Nothobranchius furzeri: one gene and its partners. The protein of the gene in region 2 binds, or shares a complex with, the protein of the main gene of each other region. Links are inferred from orthologs where the notes say so. Each region holds a gene or a part of one and is shown on either strand. Other genes may lie near its edges.

Region 1 (4,066 bases), on a different chromosome or scaffold from region 2:
AACATTTAATTTGTTCATATTTTAGTTGTAATGTTCATTTTCAGCAAAATATTTATGTCTCTACAAGTTCTTTGAATTTGGTCGTTCCTAAACAGCATTTTAGTTGAAACTCTGCTCACAGATGGACTCACACTGGCTAAATAAACGAATGAATAAATAAAAAAAACACATTAGTCATTATATGTTAAACGGCATACCAATAAATCGTTGTAAACATAGTACTGGCAAGTGTAGCTAGAAATGAGGAAAAGAGATATTAGAATATTTCCACTGCTGGGAGGCGAACCTGCGCAAAACTGCATGTCAACCTGACACCATCACCACTACACCACCACATCTGATAAAAATTAAGTGGCGTTACATTTTATTATGTTATTTGGTGTGTCTTTGTAGATGGGATGTATGATTTTTCTGGCGGTGTCTCAGTAGAAGTCATTTCAGAAATAATTTGTCAGAAAATTCACAGAATATCCAGATTTGAGAACCAAGACCAGACCCGCTTTGGGGGAGGAGACCAAATTGAAGCTGAGATGGGAAGAAAATGCATGAATGAGGCCAAAAATGGCTTTGGCGTGTTTCTTATGAGGAAATGACAATATAACAAGATTAAAAGTTCCAAAAGTCAGATTTTTAATTATATGGAACCTTTACAAAAACTGTTCAATTCACTTCTCAACTCCCTCCTCAATCTTGCATTTTTTAGCTATAACACCCTCTTTGGTTCCAGAATGCTATCAAGTCTGACAACTGGAAGGAATTGGACTGACTCCGATAGAATGGGCGGGGCTGATTCTGGAATGGGCGGAGCTGACTCTGGTGCAGCTCCACCTTCTGGTGCAGCTCCGCCTTTGTGGTTCTGCAGCGAGCACCACTTGATTGGTTCTGCCATTCTTTATTTACACTATGTTATTTAATTAAAACTATTGTGGTTGAAAAATGCAATTTTAGAATGCAAATACAATATGGATAATTTACATACAGCACAAATTTTAAGACCCAGTTGTCAAAATTCAAGACTTTTAAAAGATTTTTTAAGGTATTATTTTCTAAATCCTAAATTCAATGCTTTTGAGACTTTTTAAGACCCCGCGGGAACCCTGGACGGCGAGTAAGAAGGTCAGTGTCAAGTTCAGGTTGTGTGATAAGAAACATTATGTTTTAGATTTATTTTCTATAGAAGAATGAATCTGTCTCACCATGGCCTGACGCACAACTTTGGAGGTCTCCTGCCATGGTCGTGAAGCATTATGTTTGGCATGAAGTCTCTCCAGGAGAGCAGCTATCCGACTCTGCTTCTCTGCCTCTGATAAAGACAAAAAAAAAACATATTTCAGGTTGTGATGATGATTAAAAAGCAAATCAAATTTACTCGTGTATTCTGCCCAAGTTTGGAACCTTACTACACTCAAACAGATCATTTAAACTCGTCCTTTTAGGAATTTGCAAATATATAGGGGCCTTTATCTGTGAATTTCCAAAAATATAAAGATAATTACAATGTTTTCTTTTTTCAGAAAAAAAATTCTTTGAGGTTTTCAGAATCTGTAGTTTCAAAGATCTACCAAGTCTTTCATAACGTTTAGATTACAAAAACAACAAGGTGGCTCTTCTGTGGAGATTGTTAAACTATGAGAAAATAAAGAAGCCCAGATTTACCTTACGTCCTCATGTTGCCATTATCCGTAAAAAGCCATGGACATGAATTAGCTGGTCCAGTTGAAAACCAGATCCAATCTAGACATTCAGATATTTTACATGCAGTCTGAGATGTAGATGAATCATGCTGAAGATGTCTGTTGTAATGTATTTAGCCTACAAATAAGATGTGAACGGTAACAACATGTGCTATAATTTACAACAAATTATTAAAAGATAACTTATTATTTGTGAATACTGTGTTGATAAATTAGTTGTCCCTATAATAATTTTACATTCAGCCAGATTATGACACCTAAACTGTGGCTGTTTACATTTGTTGTGAACAAAGAACACCAAAACTAAGTTCTCTGTTATCATTTATCAACTTATTCAAAAGTTATCTTGCAGTAAAACATTTTTCTTCATCGTTTTTAAAGTACATAGGAAGGTGGATAAGGAGGGGAGTTCATAACGAGATTGTTAAGCGATTAAATACTCCCATCATTAAAACGCCCGAATTGTGGTTAACTGTCAATTACAACTTGTAACAATGAGCTAATGACGGATGACTGATTATTTCGCTTAGTTTTAAAAGCTAGTCTTACGTTCATCCCTTCAAATGATATACTAATTTGGTACAAATAAACTTGTTTTTAGTATTTTAGATATTATTGCAATCTGATCTAATGTTAATGTTGACGTTTGCATTTAGTTTATAAGACAGTAGCTCCTGCTAGCCATTAGCAACATAACAAAGGCAGAAATAAAAATAAAAAATAAATAACTGTATCACTCATAAAAAATTCCATTATTATATGTTTAATTATTTTGTCTGCATATTCAAAAATAGTCTAAATGTTAAAAATACGACACCAATAATAGTTAACACCGTTGGCTATCAGTTAGCATAGATAGCCTCTCTCACCTCTCCTAGCACTTCACGCATCTTAAAAAACTCTAAATAAACTAAAGCACCTAAAACAAAAGCAGGCCTCACCCGTTACATCTTCGGGTTTTACCCGGTCACCGATAGGCAGATTTCCTCCTTGTTGAACCGAAATAGAAAGTTCTCTGGCCGGGCTGCCACTTTGCAGAGAGACACCAGGCCCCGACGCCATTGTTCTCTCAAAGCTTCGAGTTCTCCGCGTACCCAGGCGGCTTCCGTACGCCCATCCTCTAGGACGCGAGTGTGACACTACAAAGAATGTAAATAACCCTGGTGTCTTTACAGTTTTCTTCTACAAATCAAATTTTCTTGTAATTAAAAAAAAGTTTCTATTAATAGTTCACCTGACAATCTCGTTTCATTTGTCCCTGCGCGAATATGTAGATTTATTTTAAAAATATAATACTTTCAGGGAAATTCGACTGATTATAATTGACAGGAGTTATTTTCTTTTATTGGTCAAACAAAACATTAAAACTGTGTCGAACAGCACTATATAACAGCACCTTCCTCCTAAGACAGTGACTTAATTATTTCTCCAGATGGCGTACTACTGCAAGGAAATGATTCATGTTTTGCCAAAAGCAACTGACAGGTTACACAATTATGTTTATTAACTGTAAATTTCAAGTAACACGTTTTGATTGTCGATCTCTTTTTGTCTATTGGTAAATCCCACTTTTAAAGTTACCACAGCTGCATATAAAGCAGCATATTAAAAAAATAAAAATGAAAGCCACAAAAGCAGTCATGCCTTGCAAAAACAAACGCATACTGCATGCAGACACCTGAGCCTATTGCACAGCTGAGCCTGTGGCAATGAGTGCTCTCCAGGGAGGATTTTCCCACCAACCATTATGACCTGCCTATGAGATAGAGCAGGGAGTGTGTTCATGAATATGTGTATTGGTGCATTTGCAAGGCTATACTTTAAGAACATGCGTATTAAATAAACACACAAGAAATAGACAGCACTGGAGATGGAGAGGGACTAGATTGGCATGATCTGAGTCAGTAGACAGACCTACAGATAGACATGAAGAAAAGAGGGGAGGTGCCGCTATGTAATTGATGTGCCCACCAGGAGCTTTAGCTGGCTGCTTGGCACAGAGGAGGATTTGGGCACTGCTGCCAAGACAGCAGTGGGAGAAAGGAAAAGGAGGCACGAGCCTTGGGGAGCACAGTAGTGGGCTGAAGCCATGCCCATCAATCAGAGGCTAGTTCACCTTGCCACGCCAAGTGGGACACCCCCCACTCCCTCTCTGTGCTGAGGGATGGTATGGCACTGGGAGTGAAGCTGGCACTGGACCTAAATCTTCCCTAATCTTCATGGTGGGTGTATCAGTGCCATGTCAGAATGGCAGCAGAGTGGGCAGAGCTAGACATGAGACAAAAAAGAGAAAGTTCAGCTGAGAACTGTTTGACACAGTGTTGTGAACATGAGGAAAAATGTTCCAGTTTTTTCACCTACAGGCTGAGTGT
Region 2 (4,139 bases):
ACCCTGGGAAAAGAACAAAGTAGGTGAGATCATTTTTAACAGGAGAACACATTTCAACATAACACAAACAACTGTATAACTTACCTTACCGACACCCCGGTAGACCTCGGTCACCCTAGGGTCCAGCTGGGGCATTGGAACCCCTGATACCTCAGACATCACTGTTCCCACCTCGGTTTGCTTCTCTGTGATCTTCTCCATGATAATATCAGCTAAGGTCCGCCTGTGATGGTCACAAAGAGGAAAACAGCTGAGTATACGAACATAAACTTAACCTCAAAGTGGACTTTAGCAAATTCCAACAGCTAGAATTCAAACAAAGTTGTGAGAAATCTTGCCTCATTGGAGGGTTTTTATTCATGAACATCTCAATGGCCTTCTCATCATCAGAATCAACGATGACTTCAGTATCACCCTCCACATCACCATCCCCAGCACCTGCTTCTCCCAGAACTGGCCAATCTTCATCTGAGTCAGCATCCTGGGACTCAGGGCCTAAAATAAACAGGTCAGACAACATTAGAAAATATTATTCATGCATTCAGCAAAGACTTATTTCACCTAAATAGTTCTGAGAAGATCACGCTGGGAACTATTTTTCTCTGTGATCGTCTGACATTTTGTCCACATAAAAAACATTCGTCATTAGTTTTATTTTTGCAGAGAAATAAAGGGATGTTGCATAAGTAACACCGTATAACTAATTACAAAAACACTTTCGTGGTTTCTACGCTTGATAAACCAGACTTAATTAAAAAAAATACTGCCAATTTAAGGTCCGAAACCCTCCATCATACCGAGAACAGTGACTGGTGCTTTCCTCTGCTCAGGTGCCAGGCCATACTCGGTCTGCAACTCCTCTTGTTGAATCCGGGCCTGTTGTAAGATTTTCCTTGACAGACGTTCATCCACGTAGGTGTCCTCACTTTCGACCCGGGCGTCTCGATTCTTCACCCGGCCTCGGGCTCGGATCGTGTCCGCCTGGAGGATCTGGTCGGCCAGTGGCACCGCTCCTCCTCCGCCACTCTTCTCTCCTCCACCGCCACCTTTAGCTCTTTTCACTTTCGGCATCTTTCAAGAGTGACTCAAGCTGCGACGACGCTGTCCGTGTTTTGTTTTACCATTAGAGACACAAACAACGCGGAGAAAGAATTCTGTAAACAGTCTGTATTCTACACGTGCAGATTACCGTACGGCGGAAGTGACGATATACGTAACGTCTGTGCACTGAAAAACATATATATAACATACCATTTTATATGATGTTGATTTTATATGTTTGTATGTAACATACATTTATGCAATATGATTATAAAGTTTCTTGAGTTTGTTTTTTAATTTTCTGAAACAAGGTCGTTTACGTGCACCGGAAGTGTAAATGTTAATCCGGAAGTAATTGCTTCACGAGTGTTTTTTGCAGGCGAGAAATCAATGGGTGTTACTTGGTAAGCAGATTTACTTATGTTGTAGTTAAATGCTAACTGTAATAATATTTTTGTAATATATTTTATCACGCTGTGCATATGATTTCGTTTGGCATGTGTAGCTAACTCGGTGAATGTAGCCTTTATTTGCTTCCAAACCGTTTTACACTGAATAGAATAGTGTTTATTGTCGTTGTACGGTGTACAGCGAAATTAGAGTGCCACTCTCTTTAGTGCAAAATGGAAAACTATACAAAAAATAATACAGAAATAATATAAATGTAAAATGAACAGTAATATATATATTAGTTGGGTTCAGTAAGCAGAATTTTAGCATATTGAGTAAACAGAAATAGGACATTCAAATGTTATTGCACATGATCAATTTTGAACAGGTTGCTTCACGGTGTTGTGTTGTTCTTGTGCTGTGCAGTGTTTGCCAGGTGCCCGTGGCGGAGGGGAAGAGTGTCCAACAGACAGTGGACATTCTGCATAAGAAGCTGGAGCAGCTTGGAGCTGTGAAGCAGGGCAACTTCTGTGTAGACTGTGAAACATATCAATCAACAGTAAACGCTGGCGGTAATTTTCAGCTATTAACCATATAAATATTATCATTCCTGTTGTTTAGGTGCTTTAGATGGATAGTCTTCTGCATTGCTATTAATACAACTTGCTGCAGGGGAATTTGTCATATTTCTTTGATTAAATTCTGCTTTTTGAAAATGTTCTAATAATTATGTCAAATATTTGACTTAAACTCAATTGTCCAGGATATGTGTGCCTTGTGACAAATATATTGTCAAGCTATGTAATTTTCATTTTTACTGATCTTATTTCTCTGTAAGGTTAACAAAAACAGTCATCCATTGGGTAAAAATAGCCAGATTAAAATACAGTTGGTGTGTTTTAGAAAGGTTTTCTGTAAATCTTCATTACTATGTTATGCAAGGTTAAATGAGCCACGTTTCCACTGTATCTTTCCCCAGAAGTCAGGAACATTTAAAAAGCCCCATCCACTGCAAGAATCCGCTTAAATTTGTTTAAATGGGACAGCAGTAGCTCAGGAGGTAGAGCGGGTTGTCCAGAAGGTTGCAGGTTCGATCCCGGCTCAGACCAAAGAATTCTGCTGTTGTGTCCTTGGGCAAGACACTTAACCTGCCTTGCCTGCTGGTGGTTGTCAGAGGGGCCGATGGCACCAGTGCTCAGCAGCCTCGCCTTTGTCAGTGCGCCTCAGGGCATCTGTAGTGACATCATAGCTCATTCCCACCAGCGTGTGAATGTGTGTGTGTGAGTGACTGTGTTGTGAAGTGCTTTGGGGGGATGTAGAACCCTGTGAAGGTGCTATACAAACACAGGCCATTTACATTAAGCTCCTTGAAAAATAGTTTTTATTTTTATGTTTTATAAACATCCGCAACCCGGGGTCTATAAACGTTTGATTTGGCATTTATCTTTCTAAGTTACTACTAGTCTTTTTTTTCCAGGTTTCCACCAATGAGTCCATTAGCAGAGCAGTAAATCATGATCTAATTTAGCTCAAGTGTCCTCCAGAAAAAAAGGTGTCTGCTCTCGCATCCCTCATAAGCAACATTTATATAAACAGGACATGGTATGATTCTACTACTTACTTGTGTAATTTTAAACTTAATAAGCATGCTGCTCTAATCTGTGTCCAAAAATAAAAAAATCATGCAAAGTCATTATGCAAAAATTGCATTGTTACATTTTGCTGTTCTTCATGCAATTTCTCACTTTAAGTCTGGGTTTGTTACAGGTCAGCCCTCCAAGCTCCTTTATGTAATGCACAACTCTGAATTTCCCCTGAGCTGCTTGGCTCTGTTTGAAGGAGGACCCTGTTTGGTAGCGGACACAAACTTTGACGTCCTCATGGTGAAGCTGAAGACCCATTTCCAGAATGCCAAGGGACACAAGGTGGAGTGTCGCGGTTCGAGATATCGCTACTGTGACTTCTTGATTAAAGTTGGCACGGTCACAATGAGTTCCAGTGTTCGAGGGATATCAGTGGAGGTGACAGTTTGGTATTATCAGTTAGACCAGAGGCCCATTGTTCTCTTTTTTGACAGGATTAACCCTTGATGTGTTTTCCTCAGGTGGAGTACTGTCCCTGTGTGGTTCCAGGGGACTGCTGGAACCTCATGAAGGAGTTCATGCTGTCTTTTCTTGGCAACAATGTTCCTGAGCTTCCCACTGTATTTGCTGCCAAGCCTGAGGGTCTTTTTGCACCAGCAGACTCTGTCGACACCATGACTCAGTACCTGGAGTTGTTCAACAAGCTACGGAAGTTACAAATCACAGGAAGCAATGTGCACTAATAACATTTTTTAATGATTGTATTGATGTGTGTTAAATGTGGTCCTATGGAAACCGTATGATTTGTATAGTTCTATTTTTGTAACTTCAGTTTTGTATTTGTTTACCCTGATACAGTTAAAAGGAATACAGCTACAATCTATAGATGCAAATGCTCAACACAGACAAAAATAAAGACAAAAATCTACCTATTTCTGCAAGAAGTAAAAATTCCTTACACTCGGTGGGGAAATGTTGGTGTCACAGCAGCAATCATTCACATCAGGAGCAAAGAAGAACAAAATCCTGTAACATATGCAAGAAATTCTTAAAACATTCAATCGAATAAAAAAAATCTGTGCAGATAGACGAAGTTTATAATGAGGAGTGATGGCATGAAAGGAG
Region 3 (4,026 bases), on a different chromosome or scaffold from region 2:
GTGAAAAAATAAATAAATAACGAATCAATAAAAAGCTTCGCCCTCAGTAGTTATGTCCTGTAAACTAAACAGCAGTCAACGCTACGGTTAAAATATTCCATCATTCTTTGGAATGCACTTTACTTTCTTCTTTTGCATTATAGAGTGTTCAGTTATAGAATTAGTAAAATGTGACCCCTGGTGGCACTAAGCTAGTACCCAACAGCACATAAAATAGGAAAAAAAAAAATCACATACCGTTTTTATAGCCTCCACTCTCTTGTTGAGAGATGTTGTCTGTTCAATTAGCATCTCAGCGGCATTGTCGTGGTTACGAAGCCTTTCCACTAATGATTTGGCATCTGCCAAGACCTTCTCTAAACTACAATTCATACCTAAGGAAATACAGAAGCATAAAAACAACTTATTTTTGATTATTCAACAGCTCTGACTTGTTGGTATCAATTTATTGAAAATAAATATAATTAATGCAATACACTACGAATACATGCAAACAAATCAGTCCAGTAAGTACTAATCTTTATTTCTTCAAACTCAGCTCATTCAAAGATCTGTCTACTTCTATATTAGTTGTTCAGAATCTTTTTACAGACAGCCACACGAAAATACATGAACTTTCACTTCACCACACTCTGTAAAATAATAATAATTCACCAGAACGATCGAAATGAGCCATGAATAAACGTTTCTAAAGCTAAAGAACCTAGCTTGAACCTTAAGCCTCCTCGTAGGTGATAGCACGCTAGTTTACAGCCAATAATGCATTGATAGGTCATTTTACTCTAATAAGAGTTTTATTACTTAACATATTTTGCATTTACTGACACAATTTATCACCACAACACTTCATTAATCAAATATAAACTACCGAGGAGTTCATAACACCAACCGGCTGCTATAACTAAACTTGTAAGGTCCACAAAAGGCAGCAAAACTGACAAATGTGTGGTCATACCTGAAGAGTTCAAAGTACAAAACCACTTGGGTTGAGTTAGCTTCTTTACTTCCTGTTGTTGTTTGGTGGCTAACACTGGCTAAAAGCTGACGTTTACTCCGGATTAGATGCTTTGGCGCGTTCCCATTTCCTTAAAGCACGAGAGTAAATATCGCTAGTCATGAAAAAGTCGATTTAAAACCTATCCACATTACAAAAAACCAGCCGTGGGACGGTCACAGCCATCGCTTCAGCTAACTCGAAGCCTCTTGTTTATTTCCGCGAGACGTTAAACTCTCGCGAGGGTCACGTTGGGGAGTTTTTTATTTTATTTACGGCAACATGGCGGATAGGCTAACGCAACTTCAAGACGCTGTCAATTCTGTAAGCAAAACTATTGAAATATCCCGAAATATAATTATTTTCTACGTCAATAGTTATTTTTTTATCTTACACAATTACAACAAATGGATTTAGATAAGAAATATTTGCAGAATTATCGTTTCAGTCTTTTAAATGTAGCTAATCGCTAACTTGCGAGTCTAAGGTTTAGTTAATTTACACAATTTATCACAGCTTTTATGTTTTAACCAATGAACATGGCTTGGTTTAACTGGTAATGCAACTATCAGACTATACTGGCTGTTTATCTATTCTATATTCTTTTAAACAAATGTCCGGAGTTTTAAAACCCGTGTTTGTTTTGTTGCGTGTGAACAGCTGGCTGATCAGTTCTGTGATGCCATCGGTGTTCTGCAACAATGTGCTCCACCTGCTTCCTTCAGTAATATTCAGACAGCAATCAACAAGGATCAGCCAGGAAATTCAGCCGAAGGTTTGTAACTTCAAAGCAAAATCTTTATTTAAATCTCTTTTCTCCCACATTCAGCTAGCCTGACCAGTCATGCATCCTTATGGGAAGCATTAGTTCTCTGTGTAGAATTAAACAGAGGACGAGTCTGGCAGGCCAAACATGCTCACATGCCTGGTGGAAAAATCACTACCAAACTCTCATGGGTTATTTATTTTCCTATTCGAAGAAGCCACAATTTAATAAATTGTTTCAAAAAGGGGTTTCGGGGTTTAATTGTATAAAAGTAAAAATGCTAGTCAACAAGTGAAATACTATTTCCAGGATAAAGTTAAAACGTCAAGAAAAATGTTGAAATTTTAAAGAAAATTGTCAAAACGTCTAGGAAAAAAAGTGTTACCATTTCCAAAATAGCCTGAAGAACTGAATCTCAACTGTACCCTGCCCATCCCCAAAAGTGTCACTTTGTAATATTTAGTTGGACTGCCCTTCACTTTGATTGCTTCTGCAATGTCAAAAGAATTATTCCCATCCTGAGTTGCATTCATTTTTTAATGAGGATCCTGTAGAGATGTTGAACAATCAAACAGTTTTAACAATTGTCATCGCAAAGATTGTCATTGGTGCTCATTGGGTCTGCATCGATATGCCCTGATCTCTTTCATGGTTTGATCCTGATGAATTGTGGAATTGCCATCTTGAGGTTATACAACCTATTTGCCTTGTTAAATCCAGAAGGGATTTATTTTGTTACAGGAAGTGTTGTTCCCTTTTAACTAAAGGGACGTGTTTGCTGAAGACCCTTATTGTGAAAGACTGAAGATCTCCGAGTTCTGCTTTAACAAAAGGAGTTAAAACCTGATATTTAAAGGGACTTTACGGAGTTTTGAATTTTTATGCTAGCGATTGCCCCCTCAGGCCAAAAGTGTAATGGCAGCTTCAATAGTAGGCTCGTGCACGAGGCGCGCATGCTGTACGTGCACACTCCTTTACGAAAATAACAGCTGAGACAGTCCCTTGTGTGTGTGGCCCGGAGGACAGAGGACAGGAGAAGGTGCAGCTAATTAAATAATTTGGTTCTGTACCTTTCTCTTCAGCACAGCCGACAAAGGTTTAAGATGGGTCAGTCCTCCTGCATGCTCAGATCATTCCCTTCCCTTGCTTGAAAAATTGTTCCAAAATGAAAGTTGAACCCACATCTTTTTTATCTGTGAATTCAATGCCGTTCGGCAAGTGTCAAATAAAAATTTGGGCATCTTACTGCAAAAAAATATACCATTAATGTAATGTACATCCAGATTCGAACTCGAGTCTTCTGCACGAAAGTCCGTCGTCTTACAAGGCGAGCTAAAGCGCCAGTGACGTTCCTTGTGTCTGTAACATTTATATCCTTGATGACAGCTGAAACAACGTTCAAAGAACAGTTTGGAGGGCTATGCCTGAGCGTGAACACGGATGAAGCAGCCTGCTCGACCCGAGCAGCTCTCTTTTTCTGTGATTTTACAGAAAAACAGGCAATCACAGTAAAAATGCCAGGGCTCATTCTACAGGACCAGGGCATTGCAGGAGAATGTATGAAGAAGAAATTTATTATTTCTATACATGTTTTGGCTGTCAAACTTCCATAACGTCCCTTTAACCAAATAGTTATTTTATTGAATAGTTTACTGGGTAAAACATTCCTGTAACCGTCGGTTACAATGATGATAAAACTGGAACAAATGCAGTCTGATTCAGGGGCACAACAGGGTTTGTTTTCTTTTTTGGAAGTTATATTTTGATATTTTTCAAATTAAATTGTAATATTTTTCCTCAGTATTTAGACGTAATTATAGATGTTTAGAATTTGTTCCCCACTATTTAAAGATGGTTTCTACTTTTGTCTCTTGTCTTTTCTCAATGTTCTAGAAATAGTTAAGTGTTGATTCTTAACCTTTAAACTTTTTTTTCTTCATCCTGGAAGAAACAAGCTGACTTTGTCATCGACATTATGACTGTAATCTTGAATTTTTAAAATACTGTTGACGTTTGTCTCGACATATTGACTCATTCTTGGGATGTAGCCTTTATTCTGGGGGGAATATTTAGACTTTTCTTGTCATTTGGAACTATTATGTCGACTGTACCTACTTGTTTAGTTGCAGCAATGGCACTAACGCTCATTGCATTCCCTCATGTGTGTTTTCCCTCTCCTCTAGAATATGCACGGCTATTTGCCGCTCTTATTGCCAGAACAGCCAAAGATGTAGATGTACTGATCGACTCTCTGCCCAGTGAAGAG
Region 4 (4,263 bases), on a different chromosome or scaffold from region 2:
AGCTCAGTAAATCAGGCTGACCTCTATTGTCACACCCTCTGTTTGTGAGAACAGTTACATTATGTAATCATCAGAGTGACACCATCTTGTCATAGAAAACAAACAAACAAACAAAAAATGTTCTCCACAAACACATCAGGGACACATTTGGGAAGTTGGGGACAGTGTCTCCACCGTGTCCTCCCCTCCAGCCTCACATCAGAGACATGTAATCCCACACTTTGGTCATGTGAGAACAAACTTGGCCAAACAGAAAGGCTAGTCTCTGTTGAGCGCTTCCGACCGCCATTACATTACAATGCGTGGTGGGCTGGACGATCGTGCGCAAAAAGGAAAAAAAAAAGAGGCTTCAGCGCTTCGCGTAAAACACACACACACACACACACACACACACACACACACACACACACACACACGCATTCACACCGATTCACACTGAGGGTGGCACATCCAGGCTGCGCGCACGCCCATCTAGCCGTGTAATAACGCACTCTTGTCTGACAGATAAACAATGAGGAAGGAGTCGCTGCGGTTGAGGAAATCATGCACATGCTGGAGGATTTAAACCAACAACGACCCGACCGCTTCTCGAGAGGCAGGAGCACGCGATTCGGCCGAAGCAGTCTGCAGAATGCAACATTCGCCTTGTGTTGGGATCGGCGCCAGACGAGGACGGTCACTTTTGCTTGAAGGGGAAGAAAAAACCCAGAAAACCTGTCTGATATTTTTTTCTGCAACACTGAGGCTTTTGTGGCCGTGAGAGAGGAGGTTTCGTAAGCTGAAAGGAAGGAAGGATTTTTTCAAACCTCCATCTACAGCCTGTTTTGTCGTTTTCCTGCTCGGTGGAGTGTTAGACTTTTTTCGTCTTGCCTTTGACTCATGATTCGGGGTTATTTATTGCTGGAAACCCGCTCGAGTTTCATTTTTTTGTCCACGGAGGGGAGCAGCGTGAGGAAGGAGGAGGAGGCGGAGGAAGGGGGGAAGGTTGTGTTTCTTTTTTAGCGGATCGTCTGCGGCGCGTTTGATTCAGGAGCAACAGAGGGATTAAATATTCCTGCTCGCATGCAGCAGCAGCGCCTGTTTGTGTGAGCCAGACTGGCTTACATTGTGTGAGAGAGGAGCGGTTGTGGCAAGAAAGGCGGCTATAAATAGCGCTCGAAAACTATCACAAATGGTGCATCAGCTTTGTGGAGCACACGGAATCACGTTTCCTGCGTGAAATAACCATCGTTTCCAACTTTGACGCTTATTTCACCCCCATTTTTTGAGGATTTGTGGATTTTTGCCTTTTGGATTATTTGGAAACTGATCACATTCCTTGTGTGTGTTTATGTGTGTGTGTGTGGATTGAAATGGATACTGTTTTGTTGATCAGATTTGGAATGACCTGGATTGGACCAATGTTGTGATCCCCTCTCATCACACTCACGCGCTCGGATTTATCAACATTTATTATCTTATATGTATTTTTGAAGAAAAAAAATTGGATTTAATGGATGCATCGCTGTACACATCTCTCTGAATACGCCCATTCCCGAGTCTTTTATCTTGAAGCCTGACTCTTAAGGGAACCCATCTGTCACCCCTGCTCGGTGTTGAGATACCGATGTAGGATTTCGACATGCCCTGCGCTGGCGACCCCAAAGGCGGACGATTATGACTGCAACGGCGAATTGGGTGGCTAACGGGGCAAGCCTTGAGGACTGCCATTCCAACATCTTCTCTCTGGTACGGTATGAATAAATCATGCTCAGCAGCTATAGACAAGTCATAAGACCCATGGGAGGCACGCTTAAATGTGTGTCTGCTGTACAAAGGTGAACCAATTGCTGATGTTGTTATTAGACAATCATTAACATGGGTTAGTGGTGTGGGAGACCAAAATAAAGCCACTATTACCACTAAACCTGCGGATCAACAATAGCTGCTATTTATATTTATCTTTTCCCAAATGCTCTAGTTTAGCAGCTACAAGAAGATAATTTATTGCCAAATGTCCACGCGTTTGTGAAATAGGATAACAATGCATGCTTCATTTTGCCAACTGGAAAATCGTGTCTAAAGAAAAGAAACAAAGATTTGCATCAACAAGGCACACGACGGAAGCAGCCCTTTCACAGAATCAGAGAAAAAAACACGTTTTTCACACTACATGCGGTGTCATTTTTGCACAACTCATCGCTTTTGAGGTTGAAGGAGGCAGAGCAGTGTGTTTTCACAGTTTTCCTCCTGCAATCAGCGAGTTAACTGTCTTACCACAACAGGCAGCCAAGTGGAAAGGCATGCACTGAGCTCAGGCAAGCAGGGCTGCTGAGAACCACAACAACATAGGGGTCCTGAGGGCTTTTCAGGTGATCCTGCAGGTTGTGGACCATGTTACGCCAATCGCCGCCACAAATTGTGGCACAGGGGGCTTGAGAAAGCTCCTATGAATGTTTCATTCTAGTCTCCAAGGTGAACGAGCGAGAAGAAATAGATCTTGTGTGGTTTCCCGTGCACTGACACATGCTCTCCGGTATCAGACATCTTAAATTTTCTCAGCTTGACAACAACAGAAAACAGTGATTGTGTCTCTGTCACCATCTCATCTGAGGCTATTCCCTCGTGGAAAAAAGCTTTCATTCACTCACCGAGGCTTTATTGGCCATCATGAACATCCCTTTCAAACTGAGGGTGAAAGAGACCATCCATCAGCTGGCTTGTTGAGAATATTTATGACTGGCAAGTGCTTCGGCGGTCTAACTGGCAGGGTTCCTGCAGGGTAGTCCAAATAAGCAATGACACACACACACACACACACACACACACACACACACACACACACACACACACACACACACACACACACACACACACACACACACACACACACACACACACACACACACACAATTCCTGTAAAAATGAAACAGAGATAAAGACACTAACGTGCTCATTTAAAATGCATTTGGATGTGGAAATAGGGCTGGGTTCAACGGTTAAAGAGGATTTTCTGTTAAAAGTGAGTTTATTTAAAACAGAAGCAGCTCACACCTTAGTTTTTAAACTACGATTCTCATTTCAGTCCTGTTCCTAAGTGCAGAGATAGTCTGACGTCCTACAGACGCGCTCTGGACTGACGGACTCTGCACTTCCATGCGACGTTGACTGTTTGCAAGGAAAAACTTCTCAAGGCTACTAATAAAACAGCACAGAGCACATGGCTAATTGGCATCTTTGCTGTTCTAATGTGGTTTGATATGGTTTAGCTCCTAATTCCTCTTTTCACTAGGAGAAAACTAGAAGATAATTGCATTTGTAACATAATTTCCCTCGTTAGATCATGGACACTTGTTAGAGACATTACAATCTTTATATTCTCATCATTATGGCAGTTTTTTAAATTAAAAACAAAAAAACGCTGATGGTTTTGACATTTTATTTGGGTTAGTAATTAAAAAGAGCCGCAGAATAGAAATATTTTGGATTCTAACAAACCATTAGTTGATAGGGACATATGTTAATAGGCTAATTTCTTGGGTTTGAGCTTAATAAATGATAAGAAGACAGGCTCCATGGTGGGAAATTTCCTAACCTTTTCCTGTGAGTAACAAAGGTTGTGTTGTTATAGATAAAGGTCTTCAGGCTAGCTGTTGAGCGCTCTCCTCTGACAGCCTGTTTAACAGCATTCAAGCATGCACGGACCTTGTTCCTCTCATTTGCTCACTGTTATTGCAACTCACAACAGCAAAACACACAAACAAAAACAGCTTATTAGAAAGCATAAGTGCTCATACTGTGGGACTTTAAAGGGACATGGCAGATTACTGTCGTGCACTCTGCGTGGCCAGCGTCGGATACTTGGGATGGCTGCAATCGCAGTACCCACAAAACAACTGTCTCCTGCGCTGGCGACCAACCATCTGTGACAGAAAGCAAACTAGACCCTTGTAAGTGTGAGTGTGTGCATGTGTGTGTGTAGGGGGTGCAAAAAAAGCAGAGCTGGCATGATGAAGGAGGGGGGAAAGGGCACAGAATGAGAGGAGAAACAGAGTGAGGCTTTTCAGCAGAGAAGGACTGCAGCAGAATCTGTTTTCATTTTAGGAACGTATTATGACTGATGTACATTTCCTGACTGCAAGCCTCAGCCTATTTGAGAGAAACTGAGAGTGAAAGAGTGAGCCAGAGCACGGAGGAGGAGGGGAGGGGGAATTAAGGAGGGAGAGCGTAATGAGAGAGGGGAAGGGAAGACAGACATCTTTCTGTGGACTGCGTAGGTTCCTT

Evidence for each region.
Region 1: med20 (region 2) and med1 share a complex: the UniProt entries of both Homo sapiens proteins name them as parts of the mediator complex. The link is inferred for Nothobranchius furzeri from reciprocal best matches to the Homo sapiens genes MED20 and MED1.
Region 3: med20 (region 2) and med21 share a complex: the UniProt entries of both Homo sapiens proteins name them as parts of the mediator complex. The link is inferred for Nothobranchius furzeri from reciprocal best matches to the Homo sapiens genes MED20 and MED21.
Region 4: med20 (region 2) and mediator of RNA polymerase II transcription subunit 13-like share a complex: the UniProt entries of both Homo sapiens proteins name them as parts of the mediator complex. The link is inferred for Nothobranchius furzeri from reciprocal best matches to the Homo sapiens genes MED20 and MED13L.

Annotation. Positions count from the first base shown.
Region 1 is NC_091756.1:39,221,577-39,225,642, forward strand, and holds the start of med1 (mediator of RNA polymerase II transcription subunit 1), read right to left. Parts: upstream 2,801-4,066; 5' UTR 2,757-2,800; coding exon 2,636-2,756; intron 1,735-2,635; exon of another isoform or gene 1,657-1,734; intron 1,304-1,656; coding exon 1,197-1,303; intron 1-1,196. UniProt on the Homo sapiens protein: Component of the Mediator complex, a coactivator involved in the regulated transcription of nearly all RNA polymerase II-dependent genes.
Region 2 is NC_091743.1:46,651,386-46,655,524, forward strand, and holds med20 (mediator of RNA polymerase II transcription subunit 20), read left to right. Parts: upstream 1-1,339; 5' UTR 1,340-1,431; coding exon 1,432-1,445; intron 1,446-1,857; coding exon 1,858-2,003; intron 2,004-3,198; coding exon 3,199-3,452; intron 3,453-3,535; coding exon 3,536-3,757; 3' UTR 3,758-3,946; downstream 3,947-4,139. Other genes in the region: bysl (bystin), read right to left, coding at 85-223, 339-495, 798-1,071. UniProt on the Homo sapiens protein: Component of the Mediator complex, a coactivator involved in the regulated transcription of nearly all RNA polymerase II-dependent genes.
Region 3 is NC_091741.1:59,847,008-59,851,033, forward strand, and holds the start of med21 (mediator of RNA polymerase II transcription subunit 21), read left to right. Parts: upstream 1-1,226; 5' UTR 1,227-1,276; coding exon 1,277-1,318; intron 1,319-1,654; coding exon 1,655-1,769; intron 1,770-3,943; coding exon 3,944-4,026. Other genes in the region: fgfr1op2 (FGFR1 oncogene partner 2 homolog), read right to left, coding at 238-372. UniProt on the Homo sapiens protein: Component of the Mediator complex, a coactivator involved in the regulated transcription of nearly all RNA polymerase II-dependent genes.
Region 4 is NC_091746.1:54,299,461-54,303,723, reverse strand, and holds the start of mediator of RNA polymerase II transcription subunit 13-like, read left to right. Parts: upstream 1-1,463; 5' UTR 1,464-1,656; coding exon 1,657-1,728; intron 1,729-4,263. UniProt on the Homo sapiens protein: Component of the Mediator complex, a coactivator involved in the regulated transcription of nearly all RNA polymerase II-dependent genes.